Caenorhabditis elegans: one gene and its partners. The protein of the gene in region 2 interacts with the protein of the main gene of each other region in a pairwise test. Each region holds a gene or a part of one and is shown on either strand. Other genes may lie near its edges. The genes, in order: ZK792.4, pqn-54, brc-2 and Y39B6A.1.

Region 1 (6,072 bases), on a different chromosome or scaffold from region 2:
TAGACCATTATGTGTGAAACTCTTCAATTCGAGTCTGAAATATAGTTAAAGTTTAGCTTGATCTTTTTCACCCTTGGTCACAGTTCCTCGGCTCGGACGTAGCTTAAGTTAAAGGCCAGTAGGAGCACCACCCTTACTTCCAGTTCTGGAGTGCATATGGCTTGAGGAACGCATTATTATCCTTATTTTTAGATTTTAGATTTATTTGAAGGTGTTAAAAGGTGTGTTTTCAACTGAAAAATATTTATTATTTCTTTTTTCTACAGTTTGGTTGTGAAATACTTTTTGCTCATTTCTAAATAAAATGTGCTATTAATGTAAGGTAAATTTTCAATACATGGTGCATCGTTAACTACCACTTCTAAGGTTTGAACGCTGATATCTCGAGTTTCTTTTGTTGTATGAAAAAATATGTCGACTGAAAAGTTTATATATATATATATTCTTAGAGTACATTCCAGATAGAATACACTTGGAAAAAATTCAGAACTGTGCAAACAATATTCAAAGAAATTTTTTTCTGACAAGTCTTTTAGATAGATATTTCACATCAATGTTCAATTTTTAAAGTCAAGTATATTTCAAATTTACCATAAATAAGTTCTTGATTTTCCTCAAAAAAATATATTTTCGTCTGATTTGTGCTCAAAACTGTGTTTATTTGAAGTTGCTCAATATTTGTAAGTCTTTTCTTGTGTCGCGCATGTCAACAGAGACACATTCCCTCTCAAACAGTAATTCGGTTTAGTACTCTTCTATTCCACTTTTTCATTTTTTTGTCTGTGCACGTTCCAATTCGTTCACTTTTTGTGCTCGTTTGTGCACATTCAAGAGTGAGTCCTTGATACAAAACTTTTGTCGAAAGTAGTACTTTTACAAGTAATACAGGACTAGTTACTTGTTTAGTCTGAAATATTTGTCGCTTTTTCAACTTTCTGCTTACCGCCTGATTATTGATTACAAAGAATCACAATTTTGAGTCGTCTTAAATAATCCAACCTGCGAAAATCTTAAGTTTAATGGTGAAGTAGCGTCAGTTGGCAGTTTGCTAAAAATACAGAACAGTGGTTTAAAAGTTTATTTAATTGAAACAATCGAAGATGCTTTAGAATTTTCCAAACTTGTCAGCCAAAGTTTTTGCAAATTGTTAAATTTTCAAAGATTTTTTTTTGAGAAATTTCTAGCAAGCTTGCATGTTCGAAGCCCTACTGTTACTGTTTGTTACATACAATTTAAAAATTAATAAAATATAAAAGGTTTTTTATGTAAAATTATGATATATCAATGTGTGACAGCCATTTTCGACTTGTAAATTTTTGTAAATTGAGTTGTGGAGTAAATTGTAAAGTAAGATTGTAAATAGAAATATTAAAAAAACACTGATTTATGTTTTTTTTTAATTTAAAAATTTCTATTTTTTCTATTGTATTTTATTTTCCCGGAGAGTGTGAATTAAAAAAACAGTTTACTTGGCACTGCCTTGCCGTTTGGCTCTTTGATCTTATTTTTTAAGACTAGATAGACTTTGAAATATTGAAATCCAATCTCATCAAGTACAAAAGATCGAACAAATATTCGTTTCGCGCTCTTTTCACGTTTCCTCGCATTTCAATTGACAGGTTATTTAATCATTAATGATCAATCACATTTTAATTTCAGAATTCCAAAGTTTCAATGTCATCAGAACGTAGTGGTCCCAATGGATCATTGGAAGAGTAAGAACACTTATGAAATATGTTTAACAAAAATGTGTATTTCAGTAACGGTGACTATTTGCCATTAGAAGTAATTGGTGAGGAAAATTCTTTAGATGAGAATCATGTGTGTGAAGATGTAATTATGTCAATTACAAATAAGCATGTGCAATGTTTGGCGAGGTATGTAATTTAGTTACTTTTGCTCTCATGCTCCACGTTTAACTTTTTGTTCATTATAGAAATATGATTTCAGAACTATAAAAAAAAATTTCAAACAAAATTTTGAACTTTTATGACAGTTTGAAGACTCGATTTTCTGAGTGGGTCTCACCACGATCTCAGTCATTGAAGCTTCTAAAGATGCCAAAATTTATTTCATTTCTCGCTAGTTTCTTGCCCAAGTTTGGCCTAAAAAGTATTAAGGCAAATGTTGGGCAAAATTTTGGCAAGCCTAGGTTTAGCGGCACCCAAGTTACCGTATATTCTCTATTAGTGCTGCATGCATCACTAATTTCAGGCCCTTTTTTAATGCAGCACTATTAGAGACTGCAGTACTACTGGAGACTGCAGCATTAATTTTCGAACGGCTATTTTCAATTATAGATCACTAGTTTTTAGTCCCAAAAACTCATTTTTAAGCAGAAATTCATAAAAATTGCGAACTTTTGTAACAAAAAAACCCAATAATTCAATTACTTATTATCAAAAAATCATCAAAAATATACAAAAAAAACCAAAAATATCGAAACTGTCAAGTAACTCTTTCAATAGAAAATGGGGTGCAGCACTAATAGAGACTGCAGCACTATTTTTCGGACCCTTTTTGAATGCAGCACTATTAGAGACTGCAGTACTACTGGAGATACAGCACTAATAGAGAATATACGGTATGTTTGAACGACAGACTTTCAAATGTTTAAATTCCAGATTTTCGAACAATGACCTGCTTGCCAAGGACACTATCGGTCAAAATGCTCTTCACATGGCAGCCCGGGTTGGAAATTTGAACATTTTGAAGTGAGTGTAAAGATGCAGATGAAGGAGGGCAATTGAGTGCTTTTCCCTTCCGGCAGATCAGCTCGGAATTGATATGCGTTGGAAGGGGAGATGGAAGAGCAAACAAAAAGAGAAATCAGGTCATTGACGAGAGATTGAGATTTTTTGCAGGTACTTACTGGACAGACTTCCCGAGCTTAGGGACATCCAGTCGACGAATGGTGAAACTGCAGCACACATCTCGGCTGCTCATGGAGGTATTGAGAAGGGGATTCTGAGTTGGAAATGTTGGGAAGGGAGCCTTCTAATCTTATAATGAAGACCTCAAAAAACTTTTTTTTGGACGAGCCAGTTTTTGCGCTTTTCTCAATTTATGGGTGTAAATTACAGAAAACTTTAGATTGAAGAAATTTTCAGCAGCTTTCCATGTGAATGTAGCTCAAATTTGAAGATTTTCAAGTGAAAAAAAAAACCAAAAGGTTTTATTCATACAATTCTCGCCAAAAAGTTTGTGATGAAAATATTTAATTTTTAATTTTTAAATTTGGCTTTGAATAAAGAACAATGGGGAACAAAAGAGTGAAATCCGCGAGCCTTTGAGTAATCTGTTCTAAAAATTCCGAAATTACCATAAAACAAATTTAAAATCTCAATAGCCCTGGCGTATTTGATTTAATAGTTATCCACAATGAAACCTTAAAAATTGTTTCTAAAAAGATAAAATTACTGATTTTGAAATACAATTTTCCTAGATATGCGAGCACTTGAAATTCTTCTTGGCGGCTCCCTAAAATCGACAATGAATTGTGCAATGACCCGTGACGTCAACGGAACATCCATTCTTATGGCCGCAACTGCTCGTGGTGACACTGACATGAGCATCTGGTTGCTCAGAAAATTTGGAAAAGCACTTGCACTTCTCGATAATAACTGCAAAATGCTACCAGTTCATGTGGCAGCTGCACAAGGAAATATTGAGTTTCTTCGTGCCGCAATCAAGTTTGATAATCAAATGGTAAATGCAAGAGATGAATTTGGGTGTACTCCATGTGTATATGCTGTGCAAGGTGGATGTCTTGGAACTGTTCGATTCCTAGTTGAAAAGGCTAGAAGTGAAATGGGATCAGTGAGTAATAGAGGTCAATCTCTACTTCATATTGCATGTCTCTGTGGTCATGAACATATTGTAAGATGGATTTTAAATAGAAGTGGATCTGATGCTATTTTATGGACAACTAATGATAGAGCAAATGCTATACACTGTGCAGCATGTGAGTACATCTTTCTGATATTTTAAAGAAAAATGAACAAATTTCAGATTCCGGAAGTGTACCTGTTCTTTCTCATTTATTAAATGCATTCAGCAAAAAGAAGAGACATTATGTAATGACATTGAGGGATACAAGAGGAAATACTCCACTTCATTTGGCTGCAATGAATAATCATTTGGATGCAGCACTTTATATGGTTTGTGTTATAAAAGAAATTAGGGGTACGCGGCAATCGAAAATTATTAGCATTTGATGGTTTTTGATTTTCCAAAAACGAAAAATTTCTGAAATCGGTAGTCTCAAAAACTATGTGTATTCCGGAAGTTAATAAGTCAAGTCTTCATGTTTTTGCTTCAAATTTTAAAAATTATGAAACATTTGTATTTTCATAAATTTCTGAATTTATCGAAATTGCCGGCATTGTAATTGTGAATAAATATGTAATACACTTTCTTGTATTTAGCTTGAAAACGGTGCGGATCCAGCGTTGATCAATGCCAATGGTCACTCTCCTCAATCGATTGCAGCTCTCCGGCATCACAGAGAAATGGAAAGACTTGTGGCAGCTTATCAAGGGAAGCGAAGAAAGAGCAAGTCAAAGAAGAAGTCACAATCGATGCATGATCTATCACAATTTGCTTCTCCAAATCCGAATGGTCCAATTAGTCCAGGAGGTGTCACGAGTTATTCAAGTAATACAAACGGATTTGAGACGGCTGAAAGAAGAGCATTCTCGCCACGTGAATTAAGTTCGGGGTACTCGAGTAATGGAGATGTGGCTGAGTCGATGTAAGTTTTCAAAGAGGCTGAATGCAAAAAAATTCCAATTTCAGTAAAAGCGAGGCAGAAATCGTTCGCCATCGCCTCCGATTCATTGAAGATGACATTGATTCCCTCCGAGATACTGGTGCTCAAACAGAAATGGATCTTCTTCAGACTCATGTCAAAGTGCTTGATGATAAGACATGGGCTGGTCTCGGTCTTTCAGCTGTTGAACATATTGATCGAGTTCTTGATGAACTTGAATTTGAAGAGTAAATCAAGAGATTTTAAAGATTTCTGTATAACTTCTCATAACTTCTTTCAGTTTTTATTTACCGTCAAGTTCTTTCTAACCCTTTTCTTTTCTTCAAATTTTTAAATTGTAACGCTCGTATCGTTTGTGAAATTTACTTAAGAAACATTTACAGATCTCATTTTGTATATTCGTTGCAATTTGTTTTATTATCAAATAATTTTCCCAGAAATAAAAACTTAAACACAAAGTGAAGATTACTACTTTGTAAGTAGTTTCATAATACAAAAAAATATGGAAATGAAAGAAATTAGTTCCTGGTTTTCTGAATATCGTTGAACTCGTGGGAGATGATATAGATGCGTTGATCTCTGACCTCCTGAAAAATTTAAAATTGTAGAAATTATTCAAATGGCGCTTCTGGGGCACGCATCTCCCGCATTTTCCCTCTAGGAAACGATAAGTAAAAATACATCAAGACAATCTATATTTTATTAATTGAAATTTTCGATTGATTGGAGTAGTATTTGTTTTAGTTGAAAATCGTGGAAAAATGCTTTAAATTGTCCTAAAGTTCGAACTTGAAGTCAGTCCAATTTAGAACGGTACAGCCGGCTTCAGCTGAGTTGGACTGACATCGAGAAATGAAATACTTACCAAAAAGTCGTTGTACATCTCCACGGCAACTTCCGATGCAACCAAATCACTCTGAGCCTTGACGAAACTCAAAATAATTTTCCCGTCCATTGTGAGATACTTCTCTCCGAACTCTTTGAACAATTCCTTCTGATCGACAATACCATGATCCCGAATGCTGTGAAGCAAGCTGTTGATGATGTAGGGCTTCGCGATATGTGTGGCATTGTAGATGTGAGCAACGAGTGTAGAGAAGATAAGAAATAGGAGCCAAAACCTAAAGAATTTCAAATTAAATGTCAAAAGTTGAAATTAAGAACTTGCCAGAGGAAAAGGAAGATTTTCTCATTAAATACATTGATTCCAATCAGACATTCAACAGTTTCCGCACGATTGTTTCCGGCAGTCTCACGGATTTCAAAGTCACAGAAGGTGACACGTGGGAATAATCCAGTAG
Region 2 (4,282 bases):
GTATACTTAAATTTTGACCATGGTTTCAAAAAAAGATAGTTTCCAGCCGCTTGACAAGTCGGTCAAATTTTCAATTTTAACTAATCTTAGCCCATTTTTTGAGCCGTCATAACTTTTTTTTGAGAATTTTTCAAGGAGTTTCATTATAAAATTAGGAGTTTTCAGACAATTTTGAGCCTGATAAGGTAATAAAAAATTCGACTACACCACCTTAAAAAAAACCCAAACTCACCATATCTTGCGGATGCAATCGCAATCAAGAACACAAAGATGCTGGCCAAACTGACACCATCAGACGAAAAGTGCTTCCAATCAACATGTGGGTCCAAGTTTGTAGCGTTATTCCCGTCGAAAGAGTGAACCATATCGTGCCACCAAGTTCCCATAGTGAAGTTTCCAAAGTATCCACCAAGGTTCATAGGAGATCCCGGGAGGAACACGGATATAACTGCTAGAACCGCAAAAAACTGCTGAACAACCAATCCCAGTAGTCCTGAAGTGGCGACACTGTATCGCTTTTCGAAGAATGCGTAGGAAAACGCTCCAAGGATCGCAGTCACGGATCCATAGGATCTGAATGCTCCGATAACAAATTCCGGAAGCCCTACACTTGAGCCATATCCTACAGCTAATCCATCAAATCCCATCACTGTCATGAATAGAAGACTCATTCCAAATGCAGCTGGGAATGAGATCTGGCACCAGTACGTGTAAACCACAGATTCTTTGAGCCTTGAATTGGCGAATGGGTCTAGCGCTTCATCTTTCTTGTCTTTCTTCACTTGAAGCAGAGGATTGGAGATGTAGATTGCTCTAAGGAAAATGGTTTTTGAAGCCATTGAAACAAGAGAGGCTATACCAAATATTCCAACTGTTTCACGAAGACCAACCCAGGTCACCAGAGCCTTAACTTAGTTTGTTTTTACTTTGGAATTAAAAAGCGAACACAGAACTAACACCAGTTACTAACGGTGCAATAACATTGGTACATTGATCCAATGTCAACAGAGTTGCGTTCATATTCGACAGTGTACCATCATTTCCGAGTACCATAACCCAATCTCTGCCTGTGATGAACTTTTCCGCGTTCAGGAAAAGCCGGTTCACCGCGCATATGCACATTGCTAGAACCAGGCAGACTATGTACCACGGTGACGTGGCATCGATAGACAGACAAGCTTAAAATATTTTAGCTTCGAGTACCTACATCAGTGTCAAATTAGAACTCACTGATAATAAGAGCAGCTGCAGCACAAATACTCAAATTGTTCAACGGTACGACGGTCATGATTGCTGAAATTGAAAACTTGATTTTCTCTTACAAATACTCACGAAATAAGTATTTGATTGTAGTTTTTGTTAGGTCAATGTGATACTTGAACAAATCATTTTTGCAGTAATCGAAATTTGTAAAAATGAATCGTTCACGTGGAGTCAGAACGTCCCATTTTGCTGTGATCTTCGAAAAATGCGAGAGAAGAGACGCAGAGATCTCATCTGATTTTGCATGGTTAAGAGCGTGCTGACGTCACAATTTTTCTGGTAAAATATTCCCATTTGTCGTAGATCGAACCGCAATGAGGCAGGCTGACACCACGGGATCGTTTAGTTGTCTACCGTACCCCGTTTCCTCGAGAGCCCGTCGAAATGCTTTCCTAAATATCCGCTGAGAAACATTTGCAAGACTCCCTCGAAAAGCTGCTCAATGGAAACCACTCTCATACCACCCATCAGGTCCATACAAAGAGAGACACAGAATGACCAAGCCCTGTCTTCCTGTAAATAGTATCGAAAAATTGAATGTTCATGTTTTTCCACATTGAACTAAAAAACAATTTTGAAGTTTATAAAAGTATGCGAATTTCTTTTTTTTTCTTCCTAGTTTTAAATTCCCTCTACACTCACCAAGCATGTCGAAATATAGGCACAATACAAAAATATGCTCGTTTTCGAAAGGGTGCCACTGTTTCGTCGATTATTCGGTTGTTGAAAAGTCATTGTCACAGGAATCAAACTGGAAATCTCTGCACTTCCATCGCCCGCGACACACTTACTGATTTCCATGTTAGCGATAACCTCTATATATTCTGTGATAACGGGCAGGAAGTTCAACAAAGTGTTGGTGCACATACATCATGAATTTTTTCTCTTGTCAATCAAAGATTATTTGAATAGGCCACTCGAGTGCACTGCTCACCGTCTCTTTTTTTTTCATCTTTGCTCGTCTTACCGAACACTTTTTCACGCGATAAATTGTTTGCCGCGCGGCATGAGAAGGCGGAAGATGGTTGGGATAGTTTCAAGCGAGATGGTATATAAGCCCACAATCAAATGGAAATACTCATCCGATACTTTCGGCTCTAATCATGCGCTTCACCTCCCTCGCCATTGCCTTCTTCGCCTGCGCCCTAGTGGTGTCTGTAAGTTGTGCAAGATCTAAAAATTTGAGTCTACGAATATTAATTTTCAGGGCAATGTGCTTCGTGAGAAGAGACAATGCGGATGTGCTCAACCCCAGCAGAGCCAATGCTCGTGCCAACAGGTTCAACAGACTCAATCGTGCTCGTGCCAATCTGCTCCAGTTCAGCAACAATCCCCATCATGCTCTTGCGCTCAACCACAACAAACCCAGAATGTTCAGGTTACTAGCAAACTTATGCTATAGCTCCAAAGAGAGACTTTCAGGTCCAAACCACTCAATGTGCTCCAGCTTGCCAACAGAGCTGCACCCAACAATGCCAGGCTGCACCATCGGTAGCCCAGTGCCAGCCACAATGCCAACAGCAGTGCCAATCCCAGTGCGCTCCAATGTACAATCCACCAGCCACCACCACACCAGCTCCAGTCGTCCAATGCCAGCCAATGTGCCAACAGCAGTGCCAATCCACCTGTGTTCAGCAACAACAACCAGCTTCCCAATGCCAGCCACAATGCCAGCAACAGTGCAACGTTGCCTGCGATGCTCCAGCCACATCCACTCAGGCACCACAAGTAGTCCACATCCAACTCGAGATCCAACAGGCTCAAGCTCAATGCCAACCACAGTGCCAGCAACAGTGTCAATCATCCTGCACCCAACAACAACAGCCAGCTAACCAGTGCAATTCGGCTTGTAACAGCCAGTGCTCCAACATTTGCCAACAAACTGCTCAAGCCACTCAACAGGTCTACAACCAGAACTCTAACACCAACACCCAAATGTACAATCCATACAACAACAACAACCAAGGTTCCGGATCCGCCAACTGCGCCCCAGCCTGCCAGCCAGCCTGTGACAACTCCTGCACTTCTCAGACTCCAGCTCCAATGTACAACCCATACGATGCCAGCACATCCGCCCCAGCATCTTCCCAAGCTGTGATCCAAATCGTTCTCCAATCCTCCGTCGCCCAGTCCTCCCAGTGTACTCCACAATGCGAGCAGTCGTGCCAGCAGCAATGCGTTCAGCAACAACAACCAGCCGCTCAGTGCCAGTCTGCCTGCCAGGACTCGTGCTCCAGCTCCTGCCAAGCCGCTCAGCCAGCGACTACGGCTTGCCAGCAGAGCCCACAAAGCCCACAAAACTCGTGCTCCTGCCAAGCTAACTACTCTCCATGCGGAAATGGACAGTGCTGTAGAAGAAAGTGAACGGACTCTGAACAATGACTTCAAGTTTTTGTATATAATGAAACCAATTAGTTTCACAAGAACTTAATAAACAACTTTGATATTTTAATTGATTTACATTATTTGGTTTTTTATTGTCTAGAAAATGAACAATGACTACAAAACTTATAGCTGGCTCACAGTTTATTGACTAGATTAGCACTAAAAAATAACATGGCCGCTTTTCAAGGAAAGGTTTTTATTTTATTTTATTTTTTAATGTCAGACTTCAAAACGAGACAAGTGCCATTTAAAAGTGTTCCATAAGGATATATTACTACAAAATTTTAAGCGGCAAAGCTCCACTCTCAACCCCTCTAGCATCGATCTGAAACTGTTACAGTGCACTTCTTCACTACTTTGGAGGCCTGTAGAATTGCTCCAAATTTTTTTTGTTGCAAACTTTCAATGTTTTTCAAAACGGTTAAAAGTAGGTAAGCATTCTGGAAAATTTTTGAAAATTTTTAAATTTTTTCAAAAAATCTGAAAAATTTTTGAACCGAGTGGAGTGGATTGAGGAAATTTTTAGATTTTTTTTTCAAAAATTTTTTAAAATTTTTAAAAATTTCCCAGAATGTAAACTTATTTCTAGCCGTTCTAAAAAACATTGAAAATTTGCACAAAAAAAATCAGGACC
Region 3 (5,491 bases), on a different chromosome or scaffold from region 2:
TTCAACGTAATTATTTTATTCACTGTCATTGTTCGCTCATTAACTGCAACTTTATCATGTTCTATCGTCAATAGAAATCTTTAAAAATGTGGATGTATCACTCGGTTTTCAGAAAGTGTTCGTGATTGGTGAACTTCTTTTCTTCCTCTTATGTGGTCTTAGCGGTAAGAAGAAAAATATGTCTATTTATGCAATCATTTGGTAACAGAGAAAGGAAATATACTAAATTGGAGATGGGTGGAATAAATTGAACCGGAGGATAACACAATGAATTTGATCGAATTGATTATAATCACCGTAGAGGGTACAGGATTTGGGAAAAAAAAAGACTAAACTGATGCGAGTAAAGTGCAATAAAAGTGGGTAAATATGAAGAAAAAGGTGGGTGAGGAAGGAAGAATTGGAAACAAAAAAACTAAATTTAAAGTCGATTTGCAGACATTTTTTGCTCGACTGGTTGGCTTGATGATACACTTGAGAGCTTGGAAATCATGATATTATCATCAAAAATATCATTGATTTTATCAACTTTTATAGTGTCTCCTTCATCAGTTAACAAGATTAATCCGGGTGCTTCAGTAAGCTGAAAAAGGAAATTCTTGATTTTATTTCTAGAAAATTAAAATTTACTTTGAAATCCACGGCTTCTTTGCAATTTTTGTGTAGTATCGATCGATTTTCTGGAGATGAGAGACGAGCCACAATGTCTTCTGCGATTTTGAATGAGATTCCAAGTTCACGGCATACTGTAGACATGTGACACCCGTAGTGAACTGGAAGTCGCTGCTCCCAGAGCCGTTTTCCCAAGTGATGAATTGCTTTTTCATAGAGGTCTGGGTATTGTTCACGGATTGAAGTGAGGAACAGCTGAGGGATGACCGATCCACGTGCTACCGCTGTTTTGTAGGTCTAAAAATATTTGTTTGAGAATAAATATTCGAAATCAATCTAACGTTTTTCCAATCTACAGGTGGCACGACACGCTCACAACCAATAAGTTTCTTGCCACGCTCGTCGATTTTTTGTAGAATTCCCATTTCTGAGAGTGTTTCTTCGCTTTCTGCTTGCTCTGGAACTTCTGAAATAACTTTCCCGCGATTATTTGGATTTCTATATATTTTCAAACTACTTACCTATTTTCGTTTTCCAAAGTCTCGAATTGTGTACTTGTCGACGTTGGTTCCAGATTTGAGCATTATGAAGAATTCCAATTTTAAAATCACAAACTGGCTCAAAATCTATACGCTCGAATAGAGAATTGTGTGATGTAAGAGCCTGAAAATTATATTTGATTTTCTTTCCATCTTTTTTTATTTTCGGGAATAATAAAACATTCAAAAAGGGCTGAGATCTATCTATTTTTCACATGCGACCCATTTCTATTTCACGTGAAGCACATGATTCTGAAGGGCAATGGAAATGAAAACCCGGAAAAACAAAATCTTTCAGTTTAAATTGTATCAAAACAAGTTTTTCTAGATTACAAATGTACCTGAATAGTGATCCATGAATTGGGACAGACCACATCGAAATAACATTTCACACGTGGCAATGGAGCCATTTTGAAGTTTGGCTGAAATTAAATTTATGTCGAGAAATTAAAAAAAATCAGAGCGTCATCATGAGAAAATAGGAAAGGTTTAGACTGTAAAATCAGGTTTTCATGGCGGGAATGACATTAAAATGGTGATAAGGTGATTATTTTATCAAAAGAATTTTTTGAATGATTGCACCTAAAATCGAGTGCTTTTTCTTTAATTTGATTATCAAAAGAAAATACCCAAGAAATGGAAAATGAAAATTTAAGAGATGAAAGGAAAAAGCGACCCGGAAAAACATCAAGCTGGGAAGAAATCTCAACTAGTTAGACCAAAGCTTCGAACTCTGCGAGCATGTATTTTTTTTCCTCACTTTCTCCTTTTCTTCTCTATTTCTCTAGATCTTTATTACTGCGGGGGCAAAAAGAGTAAGAGATAGAAAAGAATGACGCAAAAAATACACGGATTTAATATTTGCTTTGCTTTTTTATTCAGAGAGGAAAGGTCAATTGGGGGTTTCCCCTCGTTTTATGAATGAAAACCGCACATAAATATAATTATTTCCACAGTTTTAAACGGCAGAAACGGTTCGTGTTATAATTTGTGAGATAATTGATTTTGCATTACGAAATTAGAAGAAAAGGCGGAAATAAATAAATTAGTGTCGCAATTTTTTTCTCAAAAAGGAAATAATGCAATTACGCTCCACCGGACAGTAAAATTCTCAGTTTATTTGAAAAACAAAAATTTAATTTTTTCCCTTTTTTTCAATTGAAATCTCAAATTTCTGAACTCAAAATGAAATTTTCAGACTTTACCAGAATATTGTGACATCGACCGATGGGTGACTCATCTAAAAAAGTGTTAGTCAAGATTTATTTTATTGTTATAGCAAGAAAATTGAGAAACATACATGAATTGCAATTCTTTGTTTTCAGAAAAGACAGTTTCGACACAATATCTGAACCAGACAGCTTTGATGAGCCGAAAGGCGTACCGATATCAATGGAACCGGTTTTTTCAACAGCGGCTGGTATCCGAATTGATGTGAAGCAGGAATCGATTGATAAATCAAAGAAGATGTTGAATGTAAGCTTTGGAATTAAAAGGAAATAATGGAACATATTCTGAAATTAACTTCGACAACACATTTATTCTTCTAATATAAAAAATTTCAAATTCAGAGTGATCTCAAGAGCAAATCCTCGTCTAAAGGCGGATTTTCTTCCCCTCTCGTGCGCAAAAACAATGGGTCGAGCGCTTTCGTTTCACCGTTTCGAAGAGAAGGGTAAGTTTCAAAGGTGCTATCTAGCTCGAAGTTTTTCTTTTCAGAACGAGCTCAACAACTACAAAACGGCCGGCTAGCGGCGGTTTCGAAGATTTCGAAGCTCCACCAGCAAAAAAATCAACCAGCAGTTCTTCTAAAAAAAGTAAAAAACATTCGAAAAAAGAAAAGAAGAAGGAGTTTAAAGGTTAGTTAAGCTCTAGAATTGGCTCTCCTTTTTGAAAACTGTTCTTTATTCCGTAATTCTCGTAATCCGGAGTCTTTTTTCAGAAATCCACGCCGATGTTTTGCGTGTTTCTCGAATCTACGAAAAGGATAAATTCCGAATTATTCTTCAAGAATCCAGCTCAACTCCTCTAATCCTGGCCACTTGTAGCTACAATCGTGGCTCTGATATTAAATTTGGCGACAGAATTCATGTCGACGCGGAAGTCTGTAAAAAATGTAATGCTCAATCGATTGTAGCTATTGATTTAATTTTTCGTAAACTTTCAGCAAGCTCAGGCGATGTTACAGAAATCTATATTGATAGAGTTCTGAAAAATAAGGAAAATGGTGCGAAATCCGGTATCCGACGCCATTCAATTGCCAAGAAGCCGTTTTGCATCAAACCCAGATGTGAGCCATTTCGAGTTTTCACCTAAAAAAATTATTATTTCAGTTATCCACGAATTGTCAGACACGAAAATCAAAAAAACAGTTGTCCAAGTTAACTTACTCGATTTAAATTTGGATTTTTATGCAGGGTACATACTGATTCCTTGATAATTAATATAATAATATTGGTTTCAGATGTTCGAAATGCAAACACTCTCTCCCAGAAGCAGCGAATCAATGCGAGTTTTGTAAGGATTCCCAAGGAAAATCTGAATTGTCGATGTATTCTAGAGTATGTTCTTTATATTTATATTGCCTATTTCCTAATATAGAACATTTTTAATGTTTTGGATAAATAGCCTATTTTCAGCTAAAATCTCAAATTTTTCCGACTTGTCAGTGGTGCGGCGGTCGGAACTCACTTCTGCGAGTTGTGACATTGTCAAGTTGACAAAGTTTGAGATTTTAGCTGAATTTAGATAATTTTTTGAATTTTAGTTTTTGGGAAGTATCGTTACAAAAAAACTTCAGGTGCGAGTTATGGACTTCTCCGGTCAAATGTTTATCAATGTGACTACAAAAAATATGAAGAAATTACTCGATTTGTTAGGATATGAAGGATTTGACAATTGGTTCCGATTCAAAGACCCCCAGGAACGGTGAGATTTTTGCGGCGTTTTAACTTTCAATTTATAATTTTTTAAATTCCGTTGCATTTTTTCAGACAAAACTATGTGTTCCGCCCTGTTATGGTTGAAATCGAAAAATCGAATGATGAATGGGAATGCACTGACGTGGCAGAAGTCGACTGGAAAGATTTTGGCTCTTACTTGAAACATAAAGTATAATTTATTGATACCGAAAAATTACAGAGAACATTTTTTGTTTCACATATCATAATTTTAGAAGTCGGCCAGAATTTCAGACATTTTCTTCATTTTCTTATATCTCAATTGCGTTAAATTTTTTTCTCGAATCTGATAAATCAAAAAAATTCGCCAAAAATCCCTAAATCACCCAAAAATTTCACATTTTTGAAAAGGTTGCAATTTACAAAAAAAAACTTTGACTTGAAATTTGAGAAATCTAAGAATTTTGTAGTGTTTCATTATGATTATCGGTCACGTTAGAGTGATAAGTGTGCTAATTTTACAATTTTAATTAAGTCTCAAAATTATATCAGCTAAAATTTAATAAAATTCCATAATTTTTCAGGAAGACAAGAAGAAACGCCGTTCGAAAAAGAAGCATCCATAATATTCCATTCATGTGAATATTCATTTAATCATGTTTCATTTATTTTATCATTTTTTTGTTGTGTTTATTCGTTTTAACGTAGATGGTTCAAATGCTTTAATTTATTCTCAAAGAATATCCCCGTTCTAATTTTATATGTTCCCCTTCTGTTGTTTCCATGTTAAAGAATTATTATGAAACGATGAAATCTTCATCAGAAATTCGAAAATTTAGAAAAATAGAAACCCGAAACAAGAAAATATACAAGTACAAATACAAGTAGGCACACGTCATTTTGAAGTTGTGGTCTTATAAAGACAATTTCTAAAACCCAAAATGTTTGGGAAATCGAGAGATAAGGGGGGATCAATTGGAAAATAAATTCTATGAATTGATTAAAGTTGGAAGGAAGGTGGAACAGTCAGAAGATTGTTATTATTGCAATTTTGTTCGGAGATTTTCAGTTTTTCAGCCAATTCTTTGTCTTCAAGAGCTGCCAGAGCAATTGTAAATTCGCGTTTTGTATTTTCCTCCTGCACATTATACAATGTCAATGAGCCCGAGCCACGGCGATTTTTGCATCGAAGTCCACGTCGAAGGCATTCGGATTCAAATTGAGATCCTGGAATATATTATAGTTTATTGATTATGTATTAAAGCTGTGATTTTTGCTTCAAAATACGGTAACCGGCCTCGACACGACAATTTTGGTTGAATGCGACAGGTGTGTGCGCCTTTAAAGGAGTACTGTAATTTCAAATCGTTGTGACGATTCCGCAGAAATGAAAGCTTGACGATACAGTAGTCTTTATAGGCGCGCACCTTTTTGAAGATT
Region 4 (5,495 bases), about 18 Mb from region 2:
AATGCAGACATTTTTGCACGCGGAATTCTCATTAAAATGCAATTCTCATTAATTTGTCAGCGAAAAGCAATAAAACCTCAACCACCAGATGCAGTTTTTGATTTATTCACGTCTTTTTCTTCTCGTTGCCACGATTCGGGTAACCGTTCCCGGAAACTTTGTCACGTGGGGCCACTCTATATTCTCGGAGCAATCGTAAAACTACATCAAAATTTGATAAGGAAGAGGAAAAACGAGTGGCAGCGGCAGAATGACCGATAATCAATTATGGAGAGAGAAAAACCTGCTGATGGCACATTTTTCGAATAGTTTTGCGGTTTTTGGTTTCGGAACGTGGGGCGGAAATTGCTCCCGAATGCTGAAAATGTACAGGAACTGGAAAAAAGTCAAGGATCTTAAAAATTAGGCTGCCTGTATGAATTCCACGACAGTATGCTGTGAAATGCTTGAAATTTCAAGTCAAAGGCCCAAAAAATATCAAAGTTTCAGGAAAATTGAGGAAACATCGATTTTCGATGTTTTTCCGGAAAAACTATCCAGATTTGAAGCTTTTTCTCCTAATTTTCCCGGTTTTTTTTGAGAAAAAGTCAAAAACTCGAATTTTGAAGCCAGAAGATTGTCAGGAAACGGAAATTTCTGACAAAATTGCTCAAACTCCTGAATTTTCCACCGGAAACCTTCAAAAAGTGTAGTTGGTACTTCAAAAACCAGTTCAATTGCAGCAAATTAAGAACATTATAGAGATAAGGAGTATTAATTGTTGGTGCAAATAATGAATTATAACCACCATTGCAAGATTGAATGATCACATGATATTTGGAAAACTAGAAAACTAGTATTTCGAATTTCCAACAAAAAAAAGGTGTTAAGAGCACCATTAAAAGTTTGCCATCATCTTTGGAAATGCCACAGGCTCATAAAATAGCAGTTTTGGGTGTGGCTCTTCAGAAAACACAGTTTGGAGTTTTTAGGGGCAGTTGGGAAAGGTCGGCGGGTGCTGAAAGCTCCGAAAGCCCAATCAGAGCTGCTGAATTTGGTTAAAATCTGGAAAACCAGGAATCTAACACCTTGAAGCAACCCAGTGCTGCTCAGAGCTCTTGAGGGCAGCTAAAGCCAGTTGGGAGCTTCTAGAGGCCCATAGAAGCTTATCGGACCAATAGGGAGCTGCTAGAAGCCGTGCTCGTCGGAGCTGCTAAAATCTGCTAGGAGCCACTGGGAACTCACAAAGGACTTGAGGCCTATTAGAATAGTACAGGGCTCAGTAGAAGCAAATTAAATCCTTTAGAAAGCTTGCTTGAACTCCTAGGTCAGGCTGGAAGCTTCTAGAGACATTTATGAGCTGTTGGAGGCAATTGGAAGATTTCAGCAGTCGGGCTTTTCGGAATCACTAAGAGCTCGTGAAGGCACTTTAGATCTGCTAGACGATCACAAGGCTTACTAAAAGCAAATTGAAGCCTTCAGAAAGCTTGCTGGGCGCCTAGGCCAGGCTTTGAACTCCTAGGTCAGGCTGGTAGCTTCTAGAAGTACTTGGAAGGGTCTAGGACTAGTTGGAAGCCGCTAGAAATGTCTATGATCTAACTGAAACAATTAGAAAATTTTAGCAATCAGGCTGCTCGGAGCCACTTGAAGCTTATTGGAAGCAGTTAAACGTTCCAGAAAAGGTCAGTGTCCAAAGGTCAGGCTCTTTTTCGGTATGCTAGAACCTACCGAGACCCGAAAAATCACAAAAACCTCCAACTTCTCACACAAAACCCTTCAGTGAACTACTATAATACAATCAGCTGAAAATTTGAAAATTTTGAAAATTAATCAAATGCTGATGCTCAACAGCTGTCAGACTTCATCACCTCTCCTATTACCTCCCCAAATATTACATCACTCTGACAATCATCGTCCCAAATTTTCACGTTTCTCCTTCTCCGGGTGTCTTATCTCGATCTCTCACTTCTCCAAACATCATCAAAACTTTTAATTGCCTCCCGTGTCAAAATGGGCGGAGTCAAACTTAAGGGAGGCGGAGCCTAAAAAAAGCTTATAAAATGGGGCGGAGGAGGACGGTGATTATCAAAATTTTCGGGGCTTTTTCTCGATTTTACTTCTAAAATCCCTCTTAACTTTGAATTTCGAGTAAAATTCTGAAAATTCTGAAAATTCCAGAACCTAAACAATGACGGTGCACCATCATCATCACACCCACCACGTGTCGCTTCACAAGATCAGTGAGTTTTCGGCGCTTCCTGCCAAAGATCATTCTTATCAGTGAAATTACCGAAAAAATTAGAAAATTTCGGAAATGTTTGCCAACACAACACAACTGACATGTTATCAGTTGTAGTTTCTTAGTATCACCTACGGTAGTCAAAGATCATGATAATTTTCAGAGAAGCTCTTCTCGAAGCACTCCTCGCACGGGCATAAGCTCACTCGGGATGAAGCTCGCTCGGCGCTCCACGATATTGAGCACCTGGCCAAGGAGCTCCACTTCCAGAAGGTCTTTGATCATCATGCTCATGATGGACACATCTCATTGAAAGGTTGGTCCGGAGCTTTGGAATCTCTTAATAAACAGGAATATTTCAGGATTCCTGAGCTTCATCTCCCCACACCACGGTCACCATACCCATCATGCTCACGGAGCCCATCCAGGCCACCACGAGGTCCACCACCACCATCACCATGTGAAGGCTCAGGACTCGAGCAGCTCCAGCTCCTCCTCCAGCAGCAGCTCGAGCTCCAGCTCCTCCAGCTCATCCTCATCCTCTTCCTCTTCGTCTGAATCCGAGGACGAGAAGCACCACCACAAGAAGCACGCCAAGAAGCATCTTAAGAAGCATCACAAGAAGGCCGAGTCTAGCTCTTCCAGCTCATCCAGCTCCTCGAGCTCCAGCTCAAGCTCCTCTTCCAGCTCCTCATCTGAGTCCGAAGACGAGAAGCATCACCATAAGAAGCATGCCAAGAAGCATCTGAAGAAGCATCACAAGAAGGCTGAGAGCTCTTCCAGCAGCTCATCGTCAAGCTCCTCTAGCTCCAGCTCCTCCAGCTCGTCTTCTTCGTCGTCGGAGTCCGAAGACGAGAAGCATCACCACAAGAAGCATGCCGTGAAGAAGCATCACAAGAAGGCCGAGTCTAGCTCGTCCAGCAGCTCGAGCTCGAGCTCCTCCAGCTCCTCTTCCTCATCCGAGGATGAGAAGCACCATCACAAGAAGCACGCCGCCAAGAAGCACGTGAAGCATCACAAGAAGGCCGCTTCCAGCTCCAGCTCTTCCAGCAGCTCCTCTTCCTCTTCCAGTTCTTCTTCATCGTCTTCTTCCTCGGAATCTGAAGACGAGAAGAAGAAGAAGAAGGTGCATCACAAGAAGAGCCACGGAAAGAAGCATCACAAGAAGGCCGCGAGCTCTTCTAGCTCTAGCTCTTCCTCCAGCTCCAGCTCCAGCTCCTCATCTTCCTCAGAATCTGAGGACGAGAAGAAGCACGCTCCAGCCCATCATGAGCACCACGAGCACAAGGATGGAGCTCATCACGAGCACAAGGAAGGAGAGCACCATGAGCACGCAGCTCATCACGACGAGCACGGAGTCCACCACAGACATCATGGAGAGCACCATGGGACCCACCACTCCCCAGCTCATCACGGGGAACATGGGACCCACCACGGACACCATGGAGAGCACCACCATGCTCCAGCTCATCATGGACACCACGAATCCCATGGACACGGACATCACTCCCCAGCCCACCACGGACATCATGGGGAGCACCACCATGCTCCAGCTCATCACGGACATCATGGAGAGCACCACCATGCTCCAGCACACCATGGACACCACGGGGAACATGGGACCCACCACGGACACCACGGATCCCATCACTCCCCAGCTCACCACGGACATCATGGGGAGCACCACCATGCTCCAGCACACCACGGACACCACGGGGAACATGGGACCCACCACGGACATCATGGAGAGCACCACCATGCTCCAGCACACCATGGACACCACGGGGAACATGGGACCCACCACGGACACCACGGATCCCATCACTCCCCAGCTCACCACGGACATCATGGGGAGCACCACCATGCTCCAGCTCATCACGGACACCACGGACACCACGGATCTCACGGAGTTCATCACGGACACCACGAATCCCATGGGCATGGTCACCACGCACCGGCTCACCACGGACACCATGGGGAGCATGGAGTTCATCACGGACATCATGGAGCAGGCTACGGAGCTCACCATGGACACCACGGAGCCCACCACCACCACGCCCCACACCATGAGCATCACGAACACCATGGAGATCATCACCACGGATCTCACGGAGTCCATCACGGACACCACGGAACCCACCACTCCCTAGCACATCACGGACATCACGGAGGTCATGGGACCCACCACGGAGCCCATCACTCCCCGGCTCACCACGGACACCACGGAGCCCACCACGAGCACGGAGCCCATCACGGAGCCCACCACGGACACCATGACGACAAGGAGAACCACCACCATCATGGACACCATTCGAAGCATTCAAAGAAGCAGCACACGAAGAAGTCACATAAGAAGAGCCACTAGACGGGCGGTCGATGAGCTTCTGCTCGCCACAATTGATGCGTCACTGCATTACATGTACTTTTTGGATAAATCCTGAACAGCCTTTTTTTTTTGTTTGTATCGATTTTTCTAGCGAATTTGTAATTTTTTGTACCAATTTTTCCGTGTCGAATAAATTAATTTCATTGTGTTTAGTGGAGAAAAACGAAGAAAAAAAACATGAAAAATTGCGATAGCAGCGCCCAAATCTTGTAGTTTGTAGTTTTAGCAGCGCCCAAACTCACTTTTTCTTCATTTTTCCAATTTTTTGCCGAAAAAACAGTCGAAAACTAGGTTTTTTATACGAAAAATCGCATAGCAGCGCCCAAAACTTGTAGTTTGTAGTCTTAGCAGCGCCCAAAATTGAATTAGCAGCGCCCAAAACTTGTAGTTTGTAGTTTAGCAGCGCCCAAAATTGAATTAGCAGCGCCCAAAATTGAATTAGCAGCGCCCAAAATCTTGTAGTTTGTAGTGTTAGCAGCGCCCAAAATCTTGTAGTTTGTAGTTTAGCAGCGCCCAAAATCTTGTAGTTTGTAGTCTAAGCAGCGCCCAAAACTTGTAGTTTGTAGTCTTAGCAGCGCCCAAAACTCGTAGTTTGTAGTCTAAGCAGCGCCCAAAATTGAATTAGCAGCGCCCAAAATCTTGTAGTTTGTAGTGTTAGCAGCGCCCAAAATCTTGTAGTTTGTAGTCTAAGCAGCGCCCAAAATTGAATAAGCAGCGCCTAAATCTTGTAGTTTGTAGTCTAAGCAGCGCCCAAAACTCGTAGTTTGTAGTCTAAGCAGCGCCCAAAATCATGTAGTTTGTAGTCTTAGCAGCGCCCAAAATCTTGTAGTTTGTAGTCTAAGCAGCGCCCAAAATTGAATAAGCAGCGCCTAAATCTTGTAGTTTGTAGTC

Evidence for each region.
Region 1: the proteins of pqn-54 (region 2) and ZK792.4 interact in a two-hybrid assay, tested with the Caenorhabditis elegans proteins (one large-scale study listed by BioGRID).
Region 3: the proteins of pqn-54 (region 2) and brc-2 interact in a two-hybrid assay, tested with the Caenorhabditis elegans proteins (one large-scale study listed by BioGRID).
Region 4: the proteins of pqn-54 (region 2) and Y39B6A.1 interact in a two-hybrid assay, tested with the Caenorhabditis elegans proteins (one large-scale study listed by BioGRID).

Annotation. Positions count from the first base shown.
Region 1 is NC_003282.8:11,677,593-11,683,664, reverse strand, and holds ZK792.4 (ANK_REP_REGION domain-containing protein), read left to right. Parts: upstream 1-1,659; 5' UTR 1,660-1,674; coding exon 1,675-1,715; intron 1,716-1,760; coding exon 1,761-1,877; intron 1,878-2,044; exon of another isoform or gene 2,045-2,194; intron 2,195-2,624; coding exon 2,625-2,714; intron 2,715-2,730; exon of another isoform or gene 2,731-2,864; coding exon 2,865-2,950; intron 2,951-3,445; coding exon 3,446-3,964; intron 3,965-4,011; coding exon 4,012-4,160; intron 4,161-4,427; coding exon 4,428-4,753; intron 4,754-4,797; coding exon 4,798-5,002; 3' UTR 5,003-5,229; downstream 5,230-6,072. Other genes in the region: inx-9 (Innexin), read right to left, coding at 5,290-5,358, 5,637-5,892, 5,940-6,072.
Region 2 is NC_003283.11:1,462,648-1,466,929, forward strand, and holds pqn-54 (Prion-like-(Q/N-rich)-domain-bearing protein), read left to right. Parts: upstream 1-2,342; 5' UTR 2,343-2,366; coding exon 2,367-2,420; intron 2,421-2,470; coding exon 2,471-2,641; intron 2,642-2,685; coding exon 2,686-3,627; 3' UTR 3,628-3,713; downstream 3,714-4,282. Other genes in the region: fpn-1.2 (Solute carrier family 40 member), read right to left, coding at 233-905, 958-1,178, 1,231-1,293, 1,623-1,776, 1,906-1,998.
Region 3 is NC_003281.10:6,899,965-6,905,455, reverse strand, and holds brc-2 (DNA repair protein brc-2), read left to right. Parts: upstream 1-2,349; 5' UTR 2,350-2,378; coding exon 2,379-2,401; intron 2,402-2,476; coding exon 2,477-2,627; intron 2,628-2,722; coding exon 2,723-2,826; intron 2,827-2,870; coding exon 2,871-3,010; intron 3,011-3,093; coding exon 3,094-3,267; intron 3,268-3,318; coding exon 3,319-3,441; intron 3,442-3,484; coding exon 3,485-3,569; intron 3,570-3,615; coding exon 3,616-3,712; intron 3,713-3,951; coding exon 3,952-4,079; intron 4,080-4,144; coding exon 4,145-4,262; intron 4,263-4,635; coding exon 4,636-4,677; 3' UTR 4,678-4,888; downstream 4,889-5,491. Other genes in the region: T07E3.3 (DSBA-like thioredoxin domain-containing protein), read right to left, coding at 422-583, 631-909, 954-1,078, 1,134-1,275, 1,493-1,561; T07E3.4 (F-box domain-containing protein), read right to left, coding at 5,052-5,278. UniProt on the Caenorhabditis elegans protein: Required for the homologous recombination repair of DNA double strand breaks, thereby playing a role in chromosome integrity. Acts by targeting rad-51 to sites of DNA damage and stabilizing rad-51-DNA filaments by blocking ATP hydrolysis catalyzed by rad-51.
Region 4 is NC_003283.11:19,200,270-19,205,764, reverse strand, and holds Y39B6A.1 (Histidine-rich glycoprotein-like), read left to right. Parts: upstream 1-2,157; 5' UTR 2,158-2,167; coding exon 2,168-2,219; intron 2,220-2,381; coding exon 2,382-2,534; intron 2,535-2,580; coding exon 2,581-4,583; 3' UTR 4,584-4,752; downstream 4,753-5,495.